Linked DNA regions of Danio rerio. The protein of the gene in region 1 purifies or fractionates together with the protein of each later gene. This does not show direct contact. Links are inferred from orthologs where the notes say so. Each region holds a gene or a part of one and is shown on either strand. Other genes may lie near its edges.

Evidence for each region.
Region 2: the proteins of mycbp (region 1) and arfgef1 purify together in Homo sapiens (co-immunoprecipitation; 4 studies listed by BioGRID and IntAct, with this or other methods). This does not show direct contact. The link is inferred for Danio rerio from reciprocal best matches to the Homo sapiens genes MYCBP and ARFGEF1.
Region 3: the proteins of mycbp (region 1) and arfgef2 purify together in Homo sapiens (co-immunoprecipitation; 4 studies listed by BioGRID and IntAct, with this or other methods). This does not show direct contact. The link is inferred for Danio rerio from reciprocal best matches to the Homo sapiens genes MYCBP and ARFGEF2.

What each region holds. Positions count from the first base shown.
Region 1 is NC_133194.1:32,675-36,461, forward strand, and holds mycbp (C-Myc-binding protein), read left to right. Parts: upstream 1-1,612; 5' UTR 1,613-1,622; coding exon 1,623-1,637; intron 1,638-2,121; coding exon 2,122-2,194; intron 2,195-2,286; coding exon 2,287-2,335; intron 2,336-2,516; coding exon 2,517-2,646; intron 2,647-2,856; coding exon 2,857-2,904; 3' UTR 2,905-3,029; downstream 3,030-3,787. UniProt on the Homo sapiens protein: May control the transcriptional activity of MYC. Stimulates the activation of E box-dependent transcription by MYC.
Region 2 is NC_133199.1:22,646,155-22,650,087, reverse strand, and holds part of arfgef1 (brefeldin A-inhibited guanine nucleotide-exchange protein 1), read left to right. Parts: intron 1-2,175; coding exon 2,176-2,334; intron 2,335-3,570; coding exon 3,571-3,715; intron 3,716-3,933. UniProt on the Homo sapiens protein: Promotes guanine-nucleotide exchange on ARF1 and ARF3. Promotes the activation of ARF1/ARF3 through replacement of GDP with GTP. Involved in vesicular trafficking.
Region 3 is NC_133198.1:21,944,964-21,948,896, reverse strand, and holds part of arfgef2 (brefeldin A-inhibited guanine nucleotide-exchange protein 2), read left to right. Parts: intron 1-2,580; coding exon 2,581-2,611; intron 2,612-2,910; coding exon 2,911-3,034; intron 3,035-3,933. UniProt on the Homo sapiens protein: Promotes guanine-nucleotide exchange on ARF1 and ARF3 and to a lower extent on ARF5 and ARF6. Promotes the activation of ARF1/ARF5/ARF6 through replacement of GDP with GTP. Involved in the regulation of Golgi vesicular transport.

The DNA.
Region 1 (3,787 bases):
GTGTGTTGTGTTGTGTTGTGGTGTGTCGTCTTGTGGTGTGTCGTGTTGTGTTGTGTCGTGTTGTGGTGTGTTGTGGTGTGTTGTGTTGTGTGTTGTGTCGTGTTGTGGTGTGTCGTGTTGTGTGTCGTGTTGTTGTGGTGTGTCGTGTTGTTGTGGTGTGTTGTGGTGTGTCGTGTTGTGTTGTGGTGTGTCGTGTTGTGGTGTGGTGTGTCGTGTTGTGGTGTGTCGTGTTGTTGTGGTGTGTTGTGTTGTGGTGTGGTGTGTCGTGTTGTGGTGTGTCATGTTGTGGTGTGTCATGTTGTGGTGTGTCGTGTTGTTGTGTTGTGTTGTGGTGTGTCGTGTTGTTGTGTTGTGTCATGTTGTGGTGTGTCGTGTTGTGTCGTGTTGTGGTGTGTCGTGTTGTTGTGTGTCGTGTTGTTGTGGTGTGTTGTGGTGTGTCGTGTTGTGTGTTGTGTTGTGTCGTGTTGTGGTGTGTTGTGGTGTGTTGTGTTGTGTGTTGTGTCGTGTTGTGGTGTGTCGTGTTGTGTGTCGTGTTGTTGTGGTGTGTCGTGTTGTTGTGGTGTGTTGTGGTGTGTCGTGTTGTGTTGTGGTGTGTCGTGTTGTGGTGTGGTGTGTCGTGTTGTTGTGGTGTGTTGTGTTGTGGTGTGGTGTGTCGTGTTGTTGTGGTGTGTTGTGTTGTGGTGTGGTGTGTCGTGTTGTGGTGTGTCATGTTGTGGTGTGTCGTGTTGTGTTGTGGTGTGTCGTGTTGTGTGTTGTGTTGTGGTGTGTCGTGTTGTTGTGTTGTGTCGTGGTGTGGTGTGGTGTGTCGTGTTGTGTGTTGTGTTGTGGTGTGTCGTGTTGTTGTGTTGTGTCGTGGTGTGGTGTGGTGTGTCGTGTTGTGTGTTGTGTTGTGGTGTGTCGTGTTGTTGTGTTGTGTCGTGGTGTGGTGTGGTGTGTCGTGTTGTGTGTTGTGTTGTGGTGTGTCGTGTTGTTGTGTTGTGTCGTGGTGTGTTGTGGTGTGTCGTGTTGTGTGTTGTGTTGTGGTGTGTCGTGTTGTGGTGTGTCGTGTTGTGAGGGTGAGCGACTCGTTCACTTGCCGACAGTAATACATGTTTCTGGCAGCGCAGCATGTCGTTTTCATATTTCTTTTGCATTGTTTGCTGATTTTATTCAACAAAACTAGCATAAGCCGAGTGTTTAGTGCGAGTTGGAGCTGCTTTGCCGTATGGTGAATGCAGTAGTGACTGTATTATCATCAATAACGTTACCTGTTTAGCACAAAAGTTCAGAACATGCAAAAACGTAAAAAACTTAATCTTACCTATGAAATGTTCTGCCTTTGTGCTTTGTTTTCTTTGTTTGCTCGTTACTACACCCGTAGACAGCGCTAAAGTCCCGCATCTTCACGTAATAACACTGTCTTGAATGACATTGTCCTGGGAGCACTGTACCAATGTGGCGGCACTATTGACGCATGCTCAGGCTCCCTATGCGATATCTAGTGTATATATCTATGGATGTCGCTGCCGCCCCTTTAAGCGTTGCCTGGGTGACGGTGTGTGTGTGTTTGTTCCGTCTTTCCTCTGCGCATGTGCACGCGAGAGTCTATCAGCGAGTCAAACATTTGGTGTCTGTCGTCCGCGATGGCGCATTACAGAGTGAGTAAACAACAAACAAACAAACACACACACAAACACAAACAAGCTAACCGCTGAAAGTCGAGCTTAGACACGCCGTTTAATGAGACCGGAAACGGAGAGCGCTGAGAGGCGTCCGCAGCTGAGCTCAGTCAGAGGAGCTGAAGACCCGCGCTGAAGGTTCCTTCATTCCTGTCTGCCTCAGGCGACGGTCCACACGCAGACCAGTGTTAAACCAGCGCTAAAGAAACGCGCTGCCCGTGTGTGTTTGTATGTGTGTTTGTGTGTTTATGTGTGTGTGTGTGTGTGTGTGTTTATATGCGTGTTTGTGTGTGGTGTCTGGAGCGAAGCGTCTTCTCTGAGCTGATGAGCTTCAGCTGGAGCTGTAATGATGAGTGTGGAGAGCTCCAGCGGTGTGTGTGTGTGTGTGTGTGTAGCTCACTCTGCTGTAGACAACACCGCCTGATGAACTGTTTCTGTAATGTGTGTTTCTCTTCTGTTTCAGGCATCCGAGTCGAAGCGTGAGCAGTTCAGGAGATATCTGGAGAAAGCTGGAGTCCTCGACAGCCTGACCAACGGTGAGTCCAGGCAGTTTCAGCCCGTGATGATGATGATGATGATGATGAATATCATTCCTCAGCGTGTGTTTAATCTGATGTCTGCGTTTCAGTCTTAGTGGCGCTGTACGAGGAAACGGAGAAGCCCAACAATGCCTTGGAGTATCCTCACACACACACACCCTCACCCCGCCATGTTTCCCGCTGTCTGCTGAGTTTGTGCTCATCTTTGTGAATAATATCAATGTTTTATTCAAATTCATGAGCGCTGCTGTAAGAGATAGAATAGCCCAAACTAGCCTCCTCCTATCTTAACTAACCCAACCTTAACGAGCCGCTTCAGCTTCATCAAGCATCATCTGGGGGTTTCGGGAGTGGAGGCGGAGGATGCGGAGAGTCTGCGGGAGGAGCTGAACACACTGCAGCAGAAACACCAGCAGCTGATGGAGGAGAACCAGGAGCTGAAGAGCAGGGTGAGCGCACACACACACACACACTCTTACACAGGTATGCTAGCTTTCTTACACACACATGCTCACTCACTCACAGACAGGTGTGCTTGTGTACTCTGTCTCTCTCTCTCACACACACATAGTGGCTCCCTCACACATTACTCTGCTAAACATGAGCTTAGCCAAATCTCGTGTGTGTGTGTGTGTGTGTATGTGTGTGTGTCTCCACAGCTGCTGCAGTATGAGCCGCCACAGGATGAAGCAGCAGCAGTCGAGTAGAGGAGCTCCAGCAGATCTGCAGAAAGTGTGTGTGTGTGTTGGTTTAGTGACAGGATGTTGAAGACCTGTTGATTGTTTCTGTTCAGCTTTGTGTCTGATGTTGAATAAATATTATTTTGCAATGATCCTGCTGTGTGTGTGTGTGTGTGTGTTGAGCACTTCACTGTTCCTCTTTACTGATTCTTCAAACTATACTCACATGGACTTCAGTTGAACGCCCCTGAACACATCCAGAACACACACACACACACACACTGCAGACTCCTGAGCTCTTACCATCACATCTAGAGGAGTGATGATGATCAACGGGTGAGATGGTGTGTGTGTGTGTGTGTTCATGCTAATGCCATGTCACTCTCGGTCTCTGGTCAGGTGCTCTAGTAAGCAGAGGGACAGCAGCACGTCTTCAGTGTGTGGTGTGTATTCTCCAGCCGGAGTAAGCGGTGTGTGTGTGTGTGTGTGTGTGTGTGTGTGTGTGTGGTGTAATGACTGCACTGCAGCTCCTGAGTAATGAACAGAGGCCTGCAGGATCTGCTCTGAGCACCGACACGTGTAGATGAGCTTTACCGTCTCCAGACGCCGTGTTCAGCCTCTGCTCATGTTAAACAGCTGTGATGCATCTTATTGTGCTGCAGGTGATCTGCTAAAGCTATGTGTTAGCAGAATATACAGGTGTCAAACTCAGCTCCAAAAGGGCCGCAGCTCTGCAGTTTAGTTCCAACCTTAATTAAACACACCTGATCAAACTAATTGAGTCCTTCAGGCTTGTTTGAAACCTACAGGTAAGAGTGTTGGAGCAGGGTTGGAACTAAACTGTGCAGGGCTTTGGCCCTCCAGGAATTGAGTTTGACACCCCTGGCATAATAGCTTTGAGAACAGCCCC
Region 2 (3,933 bases), on another chromosome or scaffold:
GATTAGGCTACTGTTGCAGGGAAAATTCAGCCAGTAATGAAAACTGGAATTGTTTATTTGTCATAATGCAAACAAGATGTGTAGGGTTGCATATATGAATATAAAAAGGAGGAAAAACTTTTTTAGGATTTAGGACTTGGATATCTACAGTTATTAGCCCTCCTGAACTATTATGCCCCTCTATATTTCCCCCAATTTCTGTTTAACGGAAAGATTTTTTTTTTCAAAATATTTCTAAGCATAATAGTTTTAGTAACTCATTTTTAATAATGATTTTTTCTTAATCTTTGCCATGATGACAGTAAATAATATTTTACTAGATATATGTCAAGGTGCTAGTATGCAGTGCTTAAAGTGCTATTTAAAGGCTTACCTAGGTTAATTAGGGTAATTAGACACGTCATTATATAACATATTCTATAAACAGTTCAAAAATATTGCCTACGAAGGCTAATTAAATGGTTTTAAGAAATTTAAAACTGCTTTTATTCAAGCCAAAATAAATCAAATAAGACCTGCTTCACAAGAAAAAATATTATAGGAAATACTGTAAAAATGTCTTGCTCTGTTATACATCATTAGGAAATATTTAAAAAAGAAAAATAAGTGTAATGCTAATAATTCTGATTTTAACCATTTATTTTAATATTATTAATCAACCAAAATACGATTTTGGCAATTATCTATATTATTAAAAAATAATTACAATTTTAAAATATGTGGGACAAAATAATGTTGGGCTGGGATGATAATTTAATGTATTGTGTAATTCATGGATCGATCCTTAGATCTTTGGAAGGCATTGTGATTCTCTCTGGAATCACTTCTGAGTTTAGTTTTTAACAGCAGATGGCGCTCTTCTAGTTTTTAATCAAACACTCTTAAGGCTGATTTATACTTTTGTGTTGAACACACGTGTATGGTTTGGCACAGCCATTGCACAGTCACATACTCCTCGCCATGGATGACACCGATACTGATTCACACCTTTAAAAATGTTTTACTTTGTCGTGACAACACATAGTAAAAGCTCTACGATTGGTCAGCTTGGCACCGTTGACGAGTGTGGGCGGGGCCGAGAGCTACGCAAACCCATTGGAGCGAGTGTTTACAAATGTTGAGTCCTGTGACGGAGCTCCAGATGAAAACTTTTGCTTTGTGTTTACCTTATGATTAAAGTTGTTGCACATGTGCCACCTTCTTCCTCTGAATATGTGAGTTTTAGCTACTTGTGCAATAAGGTAAAACTAAACCAAACAAAAAAGAGCTGCAAAGAAACTCGACAGAGGAACATAAAAACCAGCTGCCAGCATGTGTTCCGGAAGTGTTTTTACTGAGCAACACAAACAGCAGGCGTAAGTATAAATGCACGACTGTGTATGCGCTATGGGTCACGGCGATCGCTCGACGCAGAAGTTTAAATCAGCCTTTAGCGAGTACAAAGAACACAAAGCATTTGTGCTTTCAGTCAGTACCCAAATGTACAGGCACCACGGGTTTTGTTAAACAGGATTAATGTAAACACAGCTTACTATGAACATTCTTGTTATTCACCTAAACATTTTCAATTAATCAATGAATTTATTAGTGATTGTTTTACGTTTGTGGTATGTCAAAGGATTGACAGAGTGTGGCTGTTTTTAAAGCTTACAGCCGCATCTGGTTGTAAAAACTAAGCTTAGAAAATTTCGTAAACGGTCATTTCTCAATTCACAGCGCATTAATTAATTCTCTCAACCGTAGTTTATATCATCAGATCACTCACTTTAGATTTCTCGTTTTTTTGCCTCATGTGAGTTGAATTTTTGGACTTTTCACTGAAGATACGATTGTGGCTAATTGCACAAATTGCTAGCTAGCAAATGCGTTACGCATTCTACATTTCTGCCTCTTGGTGTAAATGTGCCTCTCTTTGCGTGTGTGAATTAGCTGTGTTTAATTTCTACACGCGTGGATACTTCAACATGCATTTGGTGTGAACCAAGCATTTTTTATTTTAAAGTGCAATTATTTTTAAGAAGTTGCTCTTTTTCTTTTCTGCACATTTCATGCAGGAACCCCCATCCCAAAAAGCTCAAATCTTCATGGTCCTTTCATTAGTTTCAGGTAGCTTTTAATGAGAATCGGAGCAAAATGTAGTCATTATTCGCTTATTCTCTATATGCTTTATTCCAGTTGGAGCGAGACGCATATGTACAGGCTCTGGCCCGTTTCACACTCTTGACGGCCAGTTCTGGCATCACTGAAATGAAGCAGAAGAACATCGACACCATCAAGACCCTCATCACAGTGGCTCACACTGATGGAAATTATCTAGGAAACTCCTGGCATGAGGTGAGCTCTTTGATCTGTTTGGCTTATGGGTTTCCTGTGCAATGTGATTGGCCGATGGGTGTTGTGAGGTGCAGTCACTCTCTCTTTGATTCGCCTGTGTGTTTTTGTGTGATGTTATTGGCTGACTGGCTCTGAGAGAGTTTTTGTTTTGTCTGGTTGGCCTGTTTTCTGTGTGATGCTATTGGCTGATAGATTTTGTCAAGTGTTGTTATTCTCTTATTGATTGGCCTCTGTGTTTTGTGTGCAATTTAATTGGCTTATAGATTTCATAAAGGGTTACCATTCTCATTTTGATTGGCCTGTGTTTCCTGTGTGATGTAATTGGCTCATTGATTTCGTAAGGTGTTGTCATTTTCTCCTTGATTGGTCTGTGTGTTTTCTGTGCAATATGATTGGCTCATAGATTTCTTAAGGGTTTGAAATTCTCTGTTTGATTGACCATGTGTTTCCTGTGCAATGTGATTGGTTAACGAGTTTTGTAAGCTCTTTTTATACTGTTTTGATTGGCCTGTGTTATCTGTGGGATGTGATTGGCTAACGAGTTTTGTGAGCTCTTTTTAATCTATCTTAAATTACCCTGTGTGTCCTGTTTTATGTCAATGTCTGACAGGTTTTGGCAGCTGTTTATGTTCTGTTTTGATTAGCCTGTGTATTTGTCCTGTATGATGTGATTGGCTGATAGATTTTGTCATTCTCTTCTTGATTGGCCTTTGTGTATCCTGTTTTATGTGATTGGCTGACAGGTTTTGGCAGCTGTTTATATTCTGTTTTTGATCAGCCTGTAAGTTTGTCCTGTATGATATGATTAGCTGATAGATTTTGTCATTCTCTCCTTGATTGGCCTTTGTGTTTCCTGTGTAATGTGATTGGCTAACAGGTTTTGTCAGCTGTTTTTTTTCTGTCTTTGATTGGCCTGTGTGATTCCTGTTTGATATGAATGGCTGATAGATCTTGTCATTCTCTTCTTGATTGCCATTTGTGTTTCCTGTGTGATGTGATTGGCTAACTGGCTTTGTGAGCCGTTTATATTCTGTCTTTGATTAGCTTGTGTGTTTGTTCTGCTTAATGTGATTTGCTAATAGATTTTGTTTTTCTCTCTTTGGCTGGTATTTGATTGGCTGACAGGTTTTGTGAGATAATTTTATTCTGTTTTTGATTAGCCTGAGTGTTTGTCCTTTGTTATGTGATTGGCTGATGGGTTTAATGAGGTGTTGTCATTTTGTCTATGTGCTTCAGATCATGAAGTGCATTAGTCAGCTGGAGTTGGCCCAGCTCATCGGGACAGGAGTGAAGGCTCGGTACATATCAGGAACTGTTCGGGGAAAGGAAGGCTTTATCACCAGCACCAAGGAACAAACGTCTGATGAATACCTGGGATTGGGTCAGTTAATCACAAGAGCATTAATCGTCTCATTAACAAAAATATAAATTAATGAAAAGTTCACAGATTGGAATGCTGAGACAAAAAATACAGTATGCAAAATTAAAAATGTAAAAGTGTAAAATAATACTGATTTGACAGATTTTTTGGCAATCTTTTAGTTATTTTAAGATTATATTTATGTTTTTAAATCCTTCATATTTTTACTGCATGATTAA
Region 3 (3,933 bases), on another chromosome or scaffold:
TTTTCCTTGGAAATATCTTTCAGATTTGCACTGTAAAACATCTGTGTGTCAAAATAGTCATTAAAAAATACGCTTAATTGATCAAGAAAATTGTGATATGTTTATTTTACCAATATGGCACAGCCCTAGTTTAGATCATTAGAAAGCTAAATAATAGTCAGATTGTTGAATTACATTTTTAACATCTAAAATGAAGTGGAGAAGAGATCAAGACCCCATAATGCATTTTGAAACTGTTAATCTACTGAAATTACTAGGAACAAAATTACTACTGAACATTTTTCTATGAAAATGCAGTAAAACGTGGTCAGTTTAAATTAACTTGTTATCTTGAAATTAAACAAATTAACAATGTGCATCATTATAAAAATGAAGTCAACTTGACTATTCTCTTTTTAAAGTGTAATTTATAAGTACGTTCTGCTTTTATTTTGACAAGTTGTCCAGAAGATGCTTGAGTTTTTTGTTTTCACATCAGTTTATTTAGCCATACACACACCATTCATCCACAATTTCCAAATTTCATTCCTGAATTTTTTTAAAACTGTGCAAATAATATGGCCCAATAATTCTTGCAAAAACTAAACTTGTCATTTTTATCTGTGGAAGAAAGAACAGCTGTGAAGAATGCAACTGGTCATGGTTTCCTGTGATAAACTAGCTTTGTGTGAGAGATTTAAGCTGTTATTCACTGATCATTTTCTCCTCCAGTGAGCAGTTAAGCTCTATGACTGGATCAAGTTAAGCTCGAGATCAAGATCTGTCTGATTTGTGAATGAATCATTCAGACCTGTCTTGTGAGCCAGATCCACAGATTCCTTGAAAGGACAGCATAATAGGACAATTTATTCAAAGATTTACCATAAGGGTGGGTTGAGATAGTTGACTATTCAAAACTACTATTAACAACGGGTTATTAACTACGAGTAAGGTTTTTTTGTTTCGCTAGTGGTGAATCTTCACATATAAGGCTTTTTAAAATCCCTTTTAAATAATGTCATAGCCACTACAAATTCAGGAAACTCGCTGTCATATTTCAACTTGCCTGCTGTGAACAGATAAGATGTGTACTCCAAAATTTTTTTGATTGTTTAAACTTATTTAAATAGAGCTAAAACAACACAATTCTTTTCACAATTCACAATTTTTTTGGGACAACTTAATTGTTTTATGTTCAATCCACTTCAGTTTGTCAAATGAATTTTTTAAAAACGAAAAATTTTAATTTAACTTAATTCCTTCACGTTACACCAACACAAATCGCACACGATTGTGTGAAATGAAGCTTTTTCTTCAGTGTGATGATTCTTATGTTATTCACAGTCTACAGGTATGTTTGTTAGAGATGTATCATGCAGACTGCAGAGATTAATCTATTTTTCTGGAGTCTTGGGTGTCTGTCAGAATGCAGAAATGTAGCCTTTGAAAGTAATGGCTTTCACAAACATGCAGAAATAAAAAGATTTCTCATCTAACATGACTGCCGTGCAAGCCGGCTGGATGTAATCCTTTTAGAGTCATCTTACAGTTTATTTGAAACTTGTAAGTTCAGATTCAATGTGAGCAGAATAAAAGCTTTTTTTTTCCTCAACAAAGATCACGGATGTTTAGACTGCATGAGGCTGAGTATGTTACAACAGAATGAGCATTTCAGAGGCAATTACTGCTTTAATTTATGATTTTGAGCACTTGAGCTAAAACTTAGATTGAACTTAGCTTTGTGCATATTATTGTCTACTCATAATATAAAAATTATTTGCATTCAAATGGACTTCATTATTTCCTAAATGTTAAATAATAAAAGTTAAACACTGTGCTTGAACCTTTCTGTTTTCTGCTGGATGTGAAGTGTTTTTATATTAGAAAAAGTTTAAGTTTTTGCATTCCTGCTGCTGAGCTGTAATTTCTACCCCATTGTCCTGTTCATTTTAATATTTTACTGAACACAAAAGCTCAAGTACAAACCTAGTAGGGCTGCATAATATATCATTTCAGTATTGAAATCGCAATATGCACATGATATGCAATGTTGAATTGGGAAAATATTGGACTTGGAGTCGGAAAATGAAACCATAACGAAGTAAACGATAATGATTTGCCTGTGTTTTTAAGGCTTTTAAAATGTTTAAAGCATTCAGGCACAAGAGATTTACTATTGTAACTAATAAACAATAATTTATTGAATTCTTTATAGAGTAAAGACTATGCAGTTAAATTATTTAATTAATTTCTTTACATGAATACAATTGGACTACCCTGAAACCAAATGCATGGTTTATTTCCTATTTTTTCTCTTCTCTGATCTAACATTTAATAAATTATTCACACTAATATAAAATCATCCTTATTGATCAAAATCAATGAATCCTTTCCAAAGGATATTTATATCACATAAATTCTAAATACTGAAATGTCAAAAAAATGTTTTAAATATCCTGCAGCCTTAATTTCTAGGCTCAAGAACATGTAAATAAATGATCCTATATTGTAATAATTTTCAAAATTCTCCTGTCTATTTGCTTTAAAGAGAGGTCACAAAATTGATGTTAATTGATCTTTTTTTTGCCTGTTTGTTTTTAGATGAAATCAAGCATGAACTGGAAAAGCAGAAGTAAGTTTACATCTCTTTTAGTAACATGCAGCATCCATTGAGCAGTGTCCTGTGATGTACATTGATGTAATATTAAAATAACGCTTATTGTTTGTTTATGAAAAGGCTCTCTGAAGCTTAATGCATCATCTTTATTCTAAACCATTATGGTTATGTAATCATTTCAGATTTCCATACTGAACAAAAAGCCCACTGTAACACTGAAGGGCTGCTGACTGAAAGATTGGAATGTTTGTTATTTAGTGAAGTATATTTCAGTGCCGTTTGCTGATATTTTCTGTGCATCTTGTGTGTATCAGGGACGGCACTGTTGTTCCTCCCAGAGCCAACTACATTGAGGCTGACAAATATGTCCTGCCTTTTGAGCTGGCATGTCAATCCAAGTCTCCACGTATCGTCAGCACATCTCTCGATTGCCTACAGGTATGCAGAGTCTCTCATCCACTTCTTCTGTACTCAAGGCATTGTAGGTGAATGGGGTTAAAACCAAAACAACTAATAGTTGTCGTCATCATTCTTTCTCAGCAGATTTATTGATATTTATATCACAAGTTTTTTAAAAATTGGTTTAAATATGCAATAGGTTTATATAATTTTATGGAATAATTTGATTTAATGTGAAGTTTTAGGTGAAGTTGGGTGCAAAAATTTAAGATTTTAATATTGATTTTTTAGACTTTATATGATTAAAAGATTTTTACAGTGGGCTCTTTTTTGTTATTACATAATTCAGAAAATACTACAAACTGTCAGAAAAAAAGCTTTTTATGATTTTTTTTAGTAAGATATTGTAGGGGTTTGTAGTTAATCAAAAATTATGTTTCGATTTTGATTTTGGCTTCTATTGATTATGAAAAACATTAATCGAGATAAAACAATTATTGCATTATATACCGCCCCTTTCCAGTTGTACACATTTGTTGCTCTGCAAAGCTCAGTTCCACGTGAGTACTACTAAAAACATGTACAGTAATGTAACATTTGTAATCATTCATTGATGTACATTCGAATCATTCATGTTTTTCAAAGTGCAAAAGAGATCTCATTTAGTGTGTATGTGCTCAGCCTCAGAGACGAGCAGAGCACACATCTAAAGTCATCTTAATTTGATCGCTTTAATGGTCAAATACATGTACATTTTTGTCAAAACGCTGTGATTAGTGATTAGTCATATTAACCCTCAATTATGTAACAAACAAACAAGTTGAGGATCAAAAGACATGTGAAAGTGAAACCATAAATCAGAACTGTACTGCTCTTAAAGTGACAGTGCACAATATTCCTGCTGCCGACTGTTTTTATCATTATTAATTGAACAACAA